Linked DNA regions of Tamandua tetradactyla. The protein of the gene in region 1 purifies or fractionates together with the protein of each later gene. This does not show direct contact. Links are inferred from orthologs where the notes say so. Each region holds a gene or a part of one and is shown in the gene's direction. Other genes may lie near its edges.

The links.
Region 2: the proteins of JOSD2 (region 1) and AHCYL1 purify together in Homo sapiens (affinity purification with mass spectrometry; 4 studies listed by BioGRID and IntAct, counting the BioPlex papers as one, with this or other methods). This does not show direct contact. The link is inferred for Tamandua tetradactyla from reciprocal best matches to the Homo sapiens genes JOSD2 and AHCYL1.

What each region holds. Positions count from the first base shown.
Region 1 is NC_135342.1:10,717,766-10,725,631, forward strand, and holds the start of JOSD2 (josephin-2), read left to right. Parts: upstream 1-4,655; 5' UTR 4,656-4,788; exon of another isoform or gene 4,789-4,830; intron 4,831-4,916; exon of another isoform or gene 4,917-5,201; intron 5,202-5,427; 5' UTR 5,428-5,444; coding exon 5,445-5,590; intron 5,591-6,865; coding exon 6,866-6,991; intron 6,992-7,697; coding exon 7,698-7,866. Other genes in the region: ASPDH (aspartate dehydrogenase domain-containing protein), read left to right, coding at 2,043-2,097, 2,341-2,485, 2,744-2,828, 2,934-3,083, 3,165-3,385, 4,159-4,369. UniProt on the Homo sapiens protein: Cleaves 'Lys-63'-linked poly-ubiquitin chains, and with lesser efficiency 'Lys-48'-linked poly-ubiquitin chains (in vitro). May act as a deubiquitinating enzyme.
Region 2 is NC_135337.1:12,940,447-12,948,211, reverse strand, and holds the start of AHCYL1 (S-adenosylhomocysteine hydrolase-like protein 1), read left to right. Parts: upstream 1-4,757; 5' UTR 4,758-4,802; coding exon 4,803-4,922; intron 4,923-7,765. UniProt on the Homo sapiens protein: Multifaceted cellular regulator which coordinates several essential cellular functions including regulation of epithelial HCO3(-) and fluid secretion, mRNA processing and DNA replication.

The sequences.
Region 1 (7,866 bases):
TTTGGTGGGGGGGTCGTGAAAGTATGGAGGAGAGAGAGAGAACGAAGTGGACGCAGGGTGGAGAGCAGAAGGACAGAACGGGAAACGAAAAGGTCCACAGGGGCTCAGGGGACGAGGCCTTGCCGGGTGGTCCCAGGCCCCTCCACTGTTCCCAGCCCTGGTCTGGACCGCCCTCTGGCCCCCGCCGCCCACACCGCGTAAGGAGGAAGGGGGCGCCTGGGGAGAGTGGCCGGCTGCGGCACTGGGAGCACGGGGCACCTCTGCCTCGTTTCTAATGCAGGCAAGGGCCATGGCCTGGGGGGAAAGGGACAGGGACAGGCCCTCGGAAGGCCTGGAGCTGGCGAGGACGAGTCAAGAGTGGACTCAGCTGAAACAGGCAGCTGTTGGGGTGGGGTGTGGGGTCTCCAGGGACCCCAAGGTGGCCATGGTGCAGCCTCAAAGAGGGGCCCAGCAGGCTGCCATTGGGTACGGCCCCGACAGAAGCAAGGGCGTGACCAGCACCAGCACTGGGCCTTCGGCACCCTCCTGTGGGGGGACGCTGGTGGGGAGACCCCCATCCAAGGAGAGTCAGGCCCTGACTAGGGCGGCGGTGGGTGCCGCCCATGTTCTCCCCTCGCCGTGGCACAGCCTGTCCCGCCCTGCGCAACAGTCCCGGCCCAACATCGGGGGCACCCAGGCCGTGGTCAAGGCGATGACATCCCAAGGGCGCCAGGTGGGATGGTCCCACCAGCCCCCCACCCCCAGCATCTCATCCCCCCCCCCAGGGCTCTTGAAGCCAGCCACCCTGTGCGCCCCTGCAGGGAAGTGCCCTGAGGTGTGCCTGTCTGCTCTCGCCGCCTGTCCGCTCAGGACCCTCCATGCCCGCGCTCGGCTCCCCCTCTCTCTTTCTTTCTTTCATGCCCTTTCTCGCGGTTCTCTTTCAGCGCGGATCCTGGTTGCCATAGCAACGCTGCAGCGGGTACCAGGTGGTGGGGGGGGGCAGGGGAGCCGCGCTGCCGCAGCCTCCGCCATTTCCGATGCCAGGCGCCCGGAGGCGCAGGCTGGGGCTCGTTCTAAGGGCACGTGGGGTCTCCCCAGGCCACCGAGCCTTCTTGGGCCATGGGAGGCGGGAGGCGGGAGAGGGCCGGGTGGGAAGGAAATGGGGCTGAGAATACAATCCAGAGGAACCTGTGGCCTCGCAACTGGGGGAGAGGAGAGTGACAGGTGTAAAGTGAAGGTGAACTGAAGGATGGCGGGACTGATGGGAGAGAGGCTCTGGGGAGGAGGTGTGGGTGCCGGGGGCGGGGGGTGCCCTGGGAGACTGGGCCCACAGAGGCAAGGGATCGCAAGCTCCTGTTTCTTCTGGGAGGGACTGGGACAAGGGCCAGGCCAGGCCTCCTGCATAGTTTGGCAACCCGGGGTGGAGTGCAGCTGGGGGTGTGGGGTTTGGCTTAGGACAGGGATGCAGGGATGGGGGGCACGGACTTGCAGGCCACGCCAAGAGGCAGTGGGAGGAGGGGATGGGGGAGATGGAAACTCAGGGAGAAGCTGAAGGCAACAGAACTAGAGAGAGAAGAGAGACAGAGGAAGGGAGGTCAGAGATGGAGACCTGGAGAGAACCAAGCGGGGAGAAATGGGAGGGGTGTTGGGAGGACACCCACATGCGCCAGGACAGAGCCCACAGTCCCTTGCCACTGTCTCCTCTCCTCCCTCCCGATCCTCTCGACTCCCACCCCAAGCAGGATGCAGTTTCCATGACAACCTGGCTGGCCCAAAAGGAGGGCGGGGGACTGCAGAGGAAATTTTCCACATCAGCAGGAAGGGAGGAGGGTATGGAGTGAAGCAAAGAACGGCCAGGATAAAGTGGGAGCCCTGGAGTCCCAAATCACTGTGTCCAATGCCCTCGGGAATGCAGGGGAGGATTCTCACCCCGATGCCACCTCTGCGCTGCTGCCTGGGAAGGCTCAAGGGTCAAATGTCCAAAGATCAGTGGCTGCCCAGGCCTCTGAGGGGGTTAGCAAGCAGCTGCGGGAGCACGGACCACCAACCCCCCATCCAAAGGCATGGCTCTCGACGGCGCCCCACGGAGGGTGGGGGTGGTGGGCTACGGCCGCCTGGGTGAGTCCTTCATTCTGGGACCTCCTTCCTAAAGCACCAGAGCCCCATCCCCGTCGGACACACTTTCTTTCATCTGTGGCCTTTATCTGCCTGTCTGAGCACCTCCCTCCCACATCCCCCTCTGGGTCTCTGTCCTGCGCTCTCTAGACCTCTGGATCCCCATCTGAGTCTTCGTCCCCCTCCCTCTGGGTCTCTGTCCCCACCCCACCCCCAACTCTACCGTTCTCCTTTCCCTCTTTCCAGGACAATCACTTGTCTCTCACCTGCTGGCTCAGGGGCCAGAACTGGGCCTAGAACTTGTTTTTGTCTGGAACCGGGACCCAGGACGAATGGCAGGGACTGTGCCCCCCTCGCTGCAGCTCCGGAATCTCGCTGACCTTGGGGAGAGGTCAGTGATCTCCTGGTGGCAAAGGGGGACTCTCTGAAGCTTCCCTTCTGATCTCACATGGCGTCTGTGTGAACTCAGGCGAGTCCCTTGCCCTCTCTGGTCTTTGGGTCACACAAACATAAAATGTGACAAGCCCAGCTTCCCCATTTCCCCTGCCAGGCCAGGGTGAGGGGCCGACCTCTGTAGACTATGAAGGAATCTGGAGGTGGGGAGACCCAACTCCTCTCCAAGGCCCTCCTCGTCTCTCCCCTCCCCCAGGCACCCCAATCTCGTGGTAGAAGTGGCACACCCCAAAATCATCCAGGATTCTGGGGCACAAATCCTACGTCATGCCAATCTCCTGGTGAGCCTCACCCAAACCACAACCTCAGGCCCCTGCCCCTCCCCCCTTCCCACCTACCTCCCTAAAGCCTGGGCCTCAACCCCACCCCTCCTTCACCGGCCCTAGGTAGGGTCCCCCTCAGCCCTGGCTGACCAGAACACGGAGCAGCAGCTCCTGGAGGCCTCCCACCACTGGGACCATGCTGTGTTCGTGGCTCGGGGGGCCCTGTGGGGCACTGAGGACATCACCAGATTGGATGCGGCTGGGGGCCTTCAGGTGAGGCCCACTGGGCTCCCAGAAACTGGAGGGGGTCTGCAGACCCCCAGGCCCTGCCTTGACCCTGGCTGTTGCTTCCAGAGCCTCAGGGTCATCATGGCCACGCACCCTGACAGCTTCCGGCTTGAGGGACCTCTGGCTGCAGCCCAAAGGCCTGGCTCTCGCACAGTGCTCTATGAAGGCCCCGTCCGTGGGCTGTGCCCCTTGGCCCCCCGAAACTCCAACACCATGGCGGCCGCTGCCCTGGCCGCCCCCAGCCTGGGCTTCGACCGTGTAATCGGGGTGCTTGTGGCCGATCTCAGGTGAGCCGAGCTGAGCAGGGGGTGCAAGGGCCAGGCGGGCCAAACTGACCTCCCTGTTTGCCCCAGCCTGACAGACATGCACGTGGTGGAAGTGGAGCTAAAGGGTCCCCCGGGCCCCACAGGGCGCAGCTTTACCGTGCACACCCGCAGAGAGAACCCTGCTGAGCCTGGAGCAGTCACCGGCTCTGCCACTGTCACCGCCTTCTGGCGCAGCCTTCTGGGTGCGGCCAGGTCCCTCCCTAGAGCCAATGGCCCCTTCTCTAGGAACCTGTCCTCTACAGAGCTTAGGGTCTTGGGCTCTGTCCAGTTCTGCAATTCTATCTCTGTGGAAAGTCTTTATTTCTCAGTATCCTTAACTGCCCCCCCTCCACATCACTGAATCTTTGTATGTATCTATGCCTGCTGTGTCCCTCCCCCGAATCTCTGCTCACCCCCTCCAATCTGGGACGCTCTCCCTCTCTCTCTCTCTCTGTGTATCTTGTCCACTCACCAGGTCTCTGTCCCCTCTGGGTCTCTGTCTCCCTCTCTATGGATCTCTGTCCCTCATTCTGGGCCTCTATCTCCCTCTCTCTATATTCTGGGTCTCTGTCCCTCTATGGGTTTCTTCCCCCTTCCCACCCACCCCCAACTTTGATTTCTCTCTCTAGGGGTTTCTGTCCGCCCTCCTCCCCCACCCCGGTTCTCAATCCTTTCTCTCTGGGTGGCCCCCACCCGACTCCAGCTGTCCGTCTCTCCTTCTGCCTCAGTCTTTAATTCCCATCTCTCCTCTGCAGGCTGCTGCCAGTTCCCCTCCAGGCCCGGGATCCATCTCTGCTGAGAAGCCTCCACGAACCCGGGACTTCCTCGTGTCATTTCCCTCCCACCACCACCTTCCCACTCCCGTGCTGGTCTCTGTTCCCCCACACCTCCCTCTGTCGCAGTAAAGCTCCCAGGCCCCCCTCCCCGCATGGTTTTGATGTCGGTGGTCTCGATCCCTTCCTGTGACGTCACGCTGCGACTGCGCACTGCATGACGCCATCGCGGGAGGCGGTGTAAAACTCATGGAAGCTATCGCCAGAGCCTTACGCACTACGTCTCCCAGAAACCTCTGAGAAGCGGGGGACGTAGTCTTGCGCTGGTTGTGAGCGGGGAAGGGACTCTGGGAGGTGCGTTTCCGGGATTCCCCGCAGGGCCGACGGGAGTTGTAGTCCCGTATTCACTGGAGGCGACAGTGGACTTCCCGACCAGGTGGCTCCGCCGCGGCCGCTGGGAGTCGTAGTCCGGCACGCGGGGGCCGCCGGGATCTGTAGTCCGTCCCGCTCGCCCAGTCAGCGCCGAGCTACCCGCCCCGCACTCGAAGCTCAGAGCCGCGGCCCAGGGTGATGCTGGAGCCCCTGGCTCGGGGGATCGGAACGGCAGGCGGGGTGAGGGGCATTGCCAGGCAGCGAGCGAGCGCCGCGGTTGGGGTACGGGTCGGGGAAGTGGCTCTATCACTTGGTTTTCGGGAAAAGGGCCTAGTTTTTTGGTGATAGGAGAAGAGGACCTTGTTGCTTAGGGGCTGGGGAGGGGACCCTGTCGCCCAGTGACAGGAGAAGAGAAGCTCTTTGTTCAGGGGAGGGGGAGTCTTCTGTTGCTAGGCGACCAAAAAAGACCCTGTGACTTAGAGACAGGGAAGGAGGATTCCATTACTAGGTAACCAGAGAGACTTGTTACCTAGTTGGGGGGGGTGGTCCTCCGTTGCTAGGTAACCAGAGAGGGATCCTGTTACCTAGAGACACGGGATGGGGTTCTTCTGTTGCTGGGCGACCAACCAGGGAGCCTTTTACTTATGGATGTGGTGAGGGTGGTCCTCTGTTGCTGGGGGGCTGAAGAAAGCCCTTATCTTAGGGACAAGGGATGGGGGTGCCTCTGTTGCCAGGACACAGCCCAGGGAGCAGGGTCCTCCTAGGCTGCCCTGAGCCTCTACCTTAATGACAGTGTCCCGAGGGCCTGCTGGGAGGTAAGGCCTCAGCCCCTGGGCCTCCAGCCCCCAGCCCCTGAGTAGCCTCTACCCCCACCCCCAGCAGGAGCCGAGGGCGGCATGTCCCAGGCCCCAGGAGCCCGGCCGAGCCCGCCCTCCGTGTACCACGAACGGCAACGCCTGGAGCTGTGTGCTGTCCACGCCCTCAACAACGTCCTGCAGCAGCAGCTCTTTAGCCAGGAGGCTGCCGATGAGATCTGCAAGAGGTGGCCGCCACCCACCCTGATTTGGGTGCCTGGAGAAGCGGGGCTCAGAGGGCTCCATGACCCCACCCCTCTCCCCACCCCACCCCGGCTCTCAAAGCGAGGGGAGGCTGAGCCCTGGGAGGCCCCACTCAACCCGGTTTGGGCTGAACCCTGGGACTCAGAGGTGGAGATATTGCCTCCTGTACTTCTCCATCCCCATGGCCTCAGCCCTTGCTCAGGCTTCACTCTCCTTCACCTAGACTCTAATCCCTTCTGTTTTCTGGCCTCCCAGCCTCTAATCTCTCCCCTCCAGTACTTCCCATCTGAAGCTGGGAACCACCCTGCCCCTCCCCTGCTCACTGTCCTCCAGTAGCTCCCCAGCACCCCTAGGGGAAGTTCCCAGCCCTTCAGCCTGATATCCAGGGCCCCATCCGCCCCTGCAGCTTCCTCTCTCACTGCTTCTGTCCATCCAGACTTCTGTCTTGCTGATTGAGCCCCACTGTAAGATCTCTAGTTCTTTGCACATACCATTCTTTCTGCCCAGAATGGCCTCCTCTTGTCAGCCTTGCACATTCTTCTCACTGTTCAAGATTTTGAACATTGCTTCTTTATTACTCTCTGCACCATCTTCTCTGTTCTGTCCCCCCAGCCCCAGCCCCAGTTCAGGTCCCGTCCTTGCCTGACTGGGCCCTCACTCCAGTCTCCAGTCTCTCCCCTCCAGCCTGTCCCCCACTTGGCCCCTGAGCTGATGCCATCCTCTCTGCTGCTCACCGCCCAGCCTTGGCTCCCCAGCATCCTCAGAGTCCTAGTCCTTCAAACTGGTTATTCTATAATTTGTTCATATCCATCATTCAAGAGCAGGAATCAGTCAACTCTTTCAAGCCAGAGATGAGTCCGATACAAGCTCTGCCCTGGGGAAGCCTGCAGTCTAGCGAGTGAAAAAGATCCCAGCAAAATAATCCACAACCCAGATAGAGATCAGAGGTGCAGTTTTTCACAGGCAGCCGAGCTCAGAGAACAAGTGGTAACAGGATGGGCCTCCAGGGCTAGGGGAACAGCTGGAGGAAAGGCTGGGGGGCAAGAGCCCAGGAGATGTGTTTGGGGAACCGGTGGCTAAGGATAGGGTGGGGCTGCAGGTACACAGGCTCGAGGGACCAGACCAGGCAGGGCCTTGAAGTCCAGGCTAAGGGGGTCAAGACTATCTCCTGAGAGAGAGATAGTCTCCTGAGGACTTTGTAGGGAGGGTGAGGCCTTCCCAGGGGCCCCCAACCCAGGCTCTTACCACCCCTCAACCAGGTTGGCCCCAGACTCCCGCCTGAACCCTCATCGCAGCCTCCTGGGCACTGGCAACTATGATGTCAACGTGATCATGGCGGCCCTGCAAGGGCTGGGCCTGGCTGCTGTGTGGTGGGACCGGAGGAGGTAGGAGCCGAAGAGTGGCAGCACGCGCTGTGCTCCGTGAATGTGGGATGAAGCAGGGAGGAGGGGCATGGCAGATGAGGGGACAGAGGCAGGAACAGAGAGTAGATGAGTGGAAGGTTCGCAGAGGTGGATGGGTGGGTGGGCCGTAGACTGGTGGCTCAGCAGGTGGGTTAGAAGGATGAATGCAGTGGCAGTTTGGTCAGGGGGATGAGTTGATGGGGAGATCGATGGGTGGACGGATGGTAACTGGATGAGTAAGTGGGATGGTGAAGGGTGGTTGGAAGGTGCTAAATAGATGGTGGATGAGTGGTTAAGTCGTTGACCAAATAAAGGATGGATGGTTGGTAGTCAGGGAACAGCAGATAGGTGGTCGAGTGGTTGAATGGATGGGTCAGTGGGTGCATCAAAGGTGGATGGGTCAAGACTGGGTGAGGAGTTGGGTGGATGTTGGATAAGTTGTTGGGCAGGTGGCTAGCAGAATGGTGGACGGGTGGATGCTGTTTGGGGGAAGAGTGGATGGGGAGTTGGACTGATGTAGTGAAGTTATTGATGAACAGGTGGCTGGAGGGCGGGGCTTTGCCGGGTGGGTGCACAGGTGAGTGGAAGGAAACCAGGATCATGTTGAGTAAGGCTCAGAACCCTGCCCGGACCCCGCGTGCTCAGGAGGTCCTGACGGCAGTGTCCTCCCGCCCCCACCCCACCCCAGGCCCCTGTCCCAGCTGGTACTGCCCCGGGTGCTGGGGCTGATTCTGAACCTGCCCTCGCCCGTGTCGCTGGGGCTGCTGTCCCTGCCGCTGCGCCGGCGGCACTGGGTGGCCCTGCGCCAGGTGGACGGCGTTTACTACAACCTGGACTCCAAGCTGCGGGCACCTGAG
Region 2 (7,765 bases), on another chromosome or scaffold:
CATTTTTTGCTGCTTCTCTCCTGGCAGGACCTGGTGCTCTGACCCAACCTTGCCTGTTTTGCTTGAAAGCCATCCCACTCCCTGACACACACTCTACTTATCTTGCACTGAGCTGGAAACAACTCAGATGCCCAACAATAAGAAAGTGGTTAAGCAAACTCCTATGTCAACACGCTGGAACACTTGGGAAACACTGACAATGGCAAGTGTGTGAACAATCTCTGGCTGTGGTGATGTGTTTTCGAAATATGTAGTAAATTGGGCAAAACACAAAATGACCCGTGCACAGTGATCACAGGTATGTAAAAATGAGCTCTTACAAATCGATAAGAATAAGGAGTGAATTTAGAAAGACATAAAGAGACTTTTATCTTTACAAGGTTTCTTTCGAATAGAAGGAAATTCAAAATAATTACAATAATGTGATTAAAAACAAGCAGAGGAGGAGACAGAGTCTTTCCCAGTCTCAGGGGACTGCCCATTTTCTCCCAAGGGCTGGAACAACAGAGAAGGGAGGGGAAGGAGCTCAGTGGCAAGGAGGAATCCAGCCTGTCTGGGGAGTGAGTGCCCAGAGCTGGGCCTGGCAGCCCTCCCCAGGGCTTTCCTTCGAGCCAGAGGGGCAGATTACCAATTTGGAGTTGCGTTCCAGGGGCACGCCTCACGTTGATGACAATGTCAGTGATGCCTCCCAGATTTGTGCAACTTGGCAGTGGTGGGGCAGAGAGAAGCCTGGGATGTAGAGGGGGACACGCCCACCCCAGAGTTCTGGAGGCAGCGCTGTGGGGCCATTCGCCCGTGTCCATGCTGCCGCGGTCACCCACGACCTCCTGCAGTGTGTCCGCACTGTTCATCTGGTAGCTGACGAGGGCCTGGCCTGGAGGAGGGGAAGGGCCCACAGGAGAGCGAAGCCCCTCTCTGGTAGGGTGTCAGGCTGGCAGGGAGCAGACGGCTGTGAAAGGCAAAAACCTGGGCTCCCTGGGACTCCGAGACGGTGCCCCCACCCCCAGCCCCCGCAGAGGTATCAAACTCCACTCAAGCTGGCTCCTTATCGCAGTGGTCCCTTCGCCCAGATCTGCTTCTCCTCCAAACACAGCGGACGGCACCCCCGTGCACCCACAGCTCACCGGGCCCTGTGTGAGCTGACCTCGGCTTCATCGCTCCCTCTGCCCCACTTTGCACTCTGGGCCCCACCTGCACTGAAACACATACCAAGTTCCCAGATCATGGCAAGACGTTTCAATAGCCCTGCCTTTTCTCCTGCTGATCGTTCACCCTGGCAATCCCCCCTACCTTGTCCAGCTGCTTAGCTTTCAAGCGTCAGCTCAGACAGCATCTCCCTCTATGAAGTCCCCCTCCCAACTCCAGGTAGAGATCAAGCCTTCGTCGCATTTTTCTCTGTTAAGTCCCAACATTGAGTGCTGCTCCTGAAACATCTTCAGCAGTCAATATATATTTTACGAATAAACGAACAAATAAGTGAATGTGGAGGGTAAATGCGAAGGAGGACAGAAGAGTGAAATGGATCACATATACCAAGCTCACCTGCGGGGCCGCAGGGCCACTACATTTCTGGTGGCAGCATCTCCCACCCCCTCCTCCCACCCCTGTCCAGAACAGGGTCCCCTTTGGTGTCCAGGCCCTTTGGAGACTTCCTCACCACACCACACACACCAGGTGTACCTGTCCTTGGGTCTCTGCTTTTCTGGCCCCTGGACAGCTCTATCAGCTGAGTGGGACTGAGCTGTTCAGAAGGGTGGGCCTGCTTGCAGAGACTCTGAGTGAGGTGGGCAGATGGACAGAAGACCACTCATTCCTTGACATCCATGTGAGGCGACCCCCCCCTTAGCTGGGCTGCGTGGAACCATTTTCGGAGTGGTGGGGGTAGCACGCTATGGCCTTCATCAATGTGATGTCGCTGCACTCCTCGGCTGGGTGGGCTCTTTGATCTCTGGCCCACACATGGGGAGTGGGGAGGGGAGGACAGGCAGCCACCCATGTCCTCAGCAACAGGTAGGTTGCCAAGAACGCCTCTGGGTCCTGGCCTGCCATGAACCGTACAGGCCTGCTACCCTTCCACCAGGGCAGGGAGGGCTGCCCCTCCCGCCTTTCAGCCTAAGTACCCCCAGCTCCCTTAGATCAGCCTCACCCACCAAGCCTCTCCTCGGGCCCAGTCTCAGGTGAGTGGAGAATGACATGCTGCTAGCTTCTTGGCCCCAGCTGCTCAGGCATGGCCTCCTCTGGTCCTGGCCCAAGGCTCCACCCTCCTCAGCGGCAGCAGTGGTGCAGACAACGCTGGGAGACCGGTGTGAGGGGAAGCCTGTTACTTTGGTCTAGGAGGAGGCAAAGAAAGGTTGAATCTCACCACCTGACTGCCATGATGCATAGCTGAACTGGGGAACTGAAAGATGAAGCTTTTGGATAATGGAAGTTTTCAAAATCAAATCCAAAAGATAGACACATCTATGCTTTTTAATTTAATAATTTAATTTGAATAAGCTATCCTAAGTTGCGTGTCTTTCTATTCGAGGGACTTGGAATTTTCATCCCTGGTTCTAACTGGCTCTGCCTCTGTTCTTTAAGCGGGCATCTCTGATCCCTGGGCTCTGATAACAATTCAGGCAAATCCACAGCTTGAAAGCTACTGCGGGCCTTAAAGAGTTGTGGGTGAGGCTGGTGTGATTCTTGGCTCTACCTGGGAGATGAGGAGAAAAATGACAGTCTGGCATGCTTATGGATGAATCTGACATTCTGGTCCTCTGTCTCTAAGCCCTTCTGCTAGAAAAATGCCCCTGAAAGGGGTGTCTGGGTGCTCTGAAGGCTGGGCCAATGAGAGAAGCATGTAAGAGAATCTATCTAAAAGCTCAAAACCGGGATCTGCAGAAGTCTGCCTTCTTCTAGGCACTTCCACAGCCCACTTCAAACAAAGAGCCTCATCAAGCTGGATGGTTAGAATGTGGGCTTCTCCGACTAAGACTTCAGGGCACCCAGTGGAGAGTATTGCACACACCAGTGGAAAAAATGTTATTTCAAACCATAACTTCTTTCTTGGAATTATTGATCCTGTTAAAGGCTCGGTGGGTTTCTGGAAATAAAAAGGTGGATTCAGAGAGGAATTTAGGGGAAAGGCACCAGAAGACTCACATTGCTCAGCATAGTTGAGAAAAATCGGGTTTCCCAGAGTCAATCAGAAAAGAAAGGGTGAGATAGAGGGATGGGGGGGAGTAAACAGGAGGGAGTTAAATTAGATGGCAATGGCTACGGAACTTTGCAGAATAGTGTGGCCAGTGAGAAATCCCGGGTGTCAAAATAGCCAAAATAACTTCTCAGGACATTTCAGAAATGTGATTTTAAATTGTTGACTGTGTGATGTAACCTCTCCCCTGTGACCCACAAACCTTTGCTAAAAATTCTGTTACATGTTACAACTTTATTTTTGTGTCTGCTTTGGGATAGGGGTGGGGGTTGAAAGGAACAAAAGCTGTGTTCTATATCTGAATTGACAGCAAGAGTCAAAGAAGCAGTCACATGATCAGGATAATGAATAAAACTTCAGAGAAGACAGAAAACTGGAGCCAGACTTGACCATGAAAATGTAAGTTCCCCCAGTAATTCACAAAAATTTCAGGGAGGACATTGGACTTTCCACAGTAGCCAATGTAGTTTGAATCTCAAAGGACAAGCTACCTTAGCTGACATGTCAGATCCATTCAGGCTCTGTCTATCCCTCTAGACTGAGCCTTGCAAAACATAAAATGTCACACTCATCTTTGCATTCCAGGGCCTTGGCACAGGATAAGGCCCAGTAAAAATGTGCAAATGGCACACGTGTGCCCTGGGCGCCCACCGAGAGCTAGCAGAGCCTAATGCTTGGTGAACACCGAGGAGGAAAACATTCAGGCCAGGGACCCTCTGCGGACCCATCAGCTGATATTCTAATGGCCACTTCAGCGAAATCACCTCTGTGGCCTGGAGATCGCGTAAACAGGTAAGACCCAGGCGGACAATGGTGGAAGAGGTCAGAAAGGACAGTACACAAATCAGACTGTCCAAAGTTTCTTATGACCAATCCCTATGGGGTGATGGAAGGAGCCATCACCGCCCTTGGAGAGGGTAATTCTGGTCCAAAAGAAACTGGGCAGAGTAGGCTGTCCCGCGCCCCAGATTATTCCTAGGAATGGCCGTAGAATGTGTCTTTTGGGGTTCATGCCTTTTCTGCTAGGTATCCCTCCTACTCCTCTCAGAGACGTCGCCCGGAATCCTGCAGCCCAGAGACCCTCCACCCCACGTCACCCTTGCAAGAATTACACGTCGCTCGCAGGGCTGATGGCGCCATCTGGCGGCGCAAAGGGTCCTGCTCACCCTGGTACACCTAAGAGCCCCACCGAGGAGGGAAGGCTTCGGCATCCAAATCCAGCGTGATGACGTCACGACAGCGCGCCCTTTCTCCCCGCCTCTTCCCCCTCCCCGGAGCTGCCAGTACTTGTCGTGGCGTCACCGCCCTCTGCCCTTACTTTGCGTGCGTGTCTGCGTGTGTCGGAGGTGGCGGCGCGGGCCGATCGGAGCTTCGCGCGGCTGCTTGTGGTGTTCCTTCTGCCGCCGTCGCTGTCGCGCTCTGTTAGACTGCCCGGCGGACGAGGCGCTGGCCAAAGCACCTCAGAACCGAACGCAGCCCGGCGTGGGACCGGGTGGGAGGGTGGGCGAGCGCGTGTCGGAGGGCGCAGTGCGGGCGGCCGGGCGGGCGGGCGCCCGCGGAGGAAGGAGGCGGGGGCGGTGGGTCAGCCACGGGCCGGGCCGGCCGGGGGATGTCGATGCCTGACGCGATGCCGCTGCCCGGAGTCGGGGAGGAGCTGAAGCAGGCCAAGGAGATCGAGGACGCCGAGAAGTACTCCTTCATGGCCACCGTCACCAAGGCGCCCAAGAAGGTGCGGGGGCTCTGGGTGCAAGCGGGGACCTGGGCCTCGCGGAAGGGGCGCGAGCGAGTGCCAGCCCGGGCTCCGGCTAGTTCGGGACTTTAGGGGAGAGGGTTCCGGGTGATCGCGGACAGCTGAGGTTGTGTGGGAGGTAGCGGTGAGCGGCCCCAGGCCCATCCCGGGCTGGAAAGGCCGCCCCTGACTTCGTTTTCCTTTGTTCCTCGGCCGTAGTCCTCCGAGATCTTTTTGAGACCCGACAGGACCGGGTCTTAAATTTGCGGCTGACTTTTCCAGGACGAAAGGCCTCGAAGACAGGTGTGGGAGGGAGTGAATCAATTCAGCTGGCCCTTCTGACCAGGCCGAGGGAGGGGGTTGAGGGGGGTGCAGAAAATCCCCCTTCAGGTGAGTGTGTAAATCTGGCAGCACTTCTTTGGGTGAATCTTAGGGATCAGGGTCCGATTTATCCAGCAACTGCGTGATAACAAGAGAAAAGAATGCGTGGACCCAGCTCTTTTTATGCAGATAAAGGCAATGAGGGCGGTGTGAGATTGAAAAGAAAACTCTAATTTTCACCTTCGGCGGTCTTCCAGTTGCTTCAACAGCTGTAAGAAATTAGCATTTGGAGGTTAGTGACAGCAGACACTGTCATGGATGCAGGTTGATCCAGGAGTCATGTGAATAGACCACTTAGGCATCCCTTGAAAAAGGAGCTTGGGTGGGTTGGAGGGGTGGGTGGTAGGGAAGGATTGCTCATTCTTTACTGCACTTATTAAGGCAGAACAAGTTTAGTCTATTGTACCGTGGGTTGAGCTCAAAGGACACTCTTATTCTATTGTTGTGGAAGACTACATGGGAACGTTTGGAGGTTGTAGTCTAAATAGCGCTTTGAATGATAGAATTGGGATCCCCAGAGCTTTCTGATCATTTGCTGACAACTTCATCTTGACTTTACTCATGCCCATCACCTGGTTAACAGTCGATCAGAGAACCTTTGCAAAGAGGTGACCTTTCTGAAGCCAGTGAGAACCCGGATAAATATTTCAGTCTAGTATAAAGAGAGTGTTTCAAGGCTATCTCTGCCTGCAGTGTTTGATAGAAAGCAGTGCTCAAGTTTTGCAGGAATAGTTACAGTTCTTAAGGCTCCTACACCTGAACTAGTTAAACTACCTTGAGTTGGAAACATGGCTTTAAAAAAAAAGAAAGAAATTTAATCTACTACTCCAGAAAGCAAATGCAAAATTGAAAAGACAAGTCACCATAGTGCACTTTATCTTTGTTTTCTCTAAAACTTGAAATCTTAACAACAGAATGTCTTTAAAATATTGAAGATCCCTTGACTTTAAGGAGTAATTAACCTTATTTTTAGAGCTCTCAGTTCAGCAGATTACTTTGTTGGGGCTGTATTTGTATTCTGCACTGTTCTTTGAAGAAACAGTCACAGCTCTTTCAAGCAAAATTCTTGTGAGTAGTACCTTAGGTGAGTTAGGGGGAAAATGAGAAAATGCTTAATTCCCTGAACTCTTCCCCCCCACACACCCCCCATTTTCTAGTCATTTCAGGGTTTGGGGTGTCTTTATTCTTACCTTTTTTAGTAAACCTTTATTCTTACTTGTCAGTGCCACTGTTGATAAGACAAAGTTTGCATTATGGATTGTAAACTTTCATAAAGACAAGGACTCTCATTCACCATTGAATCCATTGTGCTCAGTACTGTATCTAGCTTATAGGAAGTACTCAATTATTAATTGCCCGCTTGGCTAACTATTAACTGAGATGTCAGTAGGGTTGTCTATTCCTCCTCTCTTCCCAGGAGGAATATTACTAATGTGTATTTTTGTCAGGCCAAGTGCTAATGATTAGAGACTCGTATTCCGTTAGTTGAAAGAAGCAGTCTCTGCCGGGGATGTGATAAGACCCTGCTGTGAGTTACCATTTGCTGGTAAATGTGCCCCTGTGTTTTTAGTTTTACTTTTTCTGAGCTTTATTGTTTAGCATTTACACAGCACTTTGTAGTAAAGTGCTTTATAATGACTAATTACTCTTTCTCTGGTGATGATGAAATCCATTTATTTAGTTAATGGGTCAGTTGAGTACTAGTTCAAGGTCACATAGCAAGTCCTTGGTAATTTGTTTTTCAGAATTTCAGCTGAGTTGGACATTATGATTCAGGTAACTTGTCTACTTCTGCTGTGTGTTGATGATGTGAGAAAGCATGGGAAAAATAAAAGGAAAAAAAGTAACCTGGCCAGGTACTGAATGGTATGAGAAAAGGGCCTCTCACCTGTGAGGATTGCAGTTTGACTTTAGACCAAGTAATTCTTGAATAATTCCAGACCCTGAGGCCATTCAGGAAATGAGGTCATTGCTGGGGCCAGTGAGAGGGTACAGGTTACTTGAGGGTGACCTTGATGGTCCTTAATCAGGTCATATCTCAGAGGAGCTTTCTTGTTAATTCACCTTGTCTGCCTTCATTTAGGTAGAGTGAATATCCTGCAATTAAAAGCATTGATAGCTGGATTCTTTTGCTATAATCATGATTTGCTCAGTTTTATATGCCCCTGGGGTCTAGTACAGTGCTGTTGAGGTAACAGGGCTTGTTGGTTTGATTCAAGGATCCATCTAGCTGTCAAGAAGCCAACTAAGTAGGTTCCTAAGTAAATTAGTTTCTGTGCCGCAGTTTCCTTATCTGACAAATAAGTTGTTATTTGAAATAGGTAGAGATAGGAACATGTTGGGAGCTAAATAGCAAGTGTGCCTTTAAAAAAAAGTCTGTTTATATCTGGTATATTTTCCTGTTTTTAAGAGCATCTGAGATGGCTTAGAGTACAGAAGGTATAGACAATATAAATAGGAAG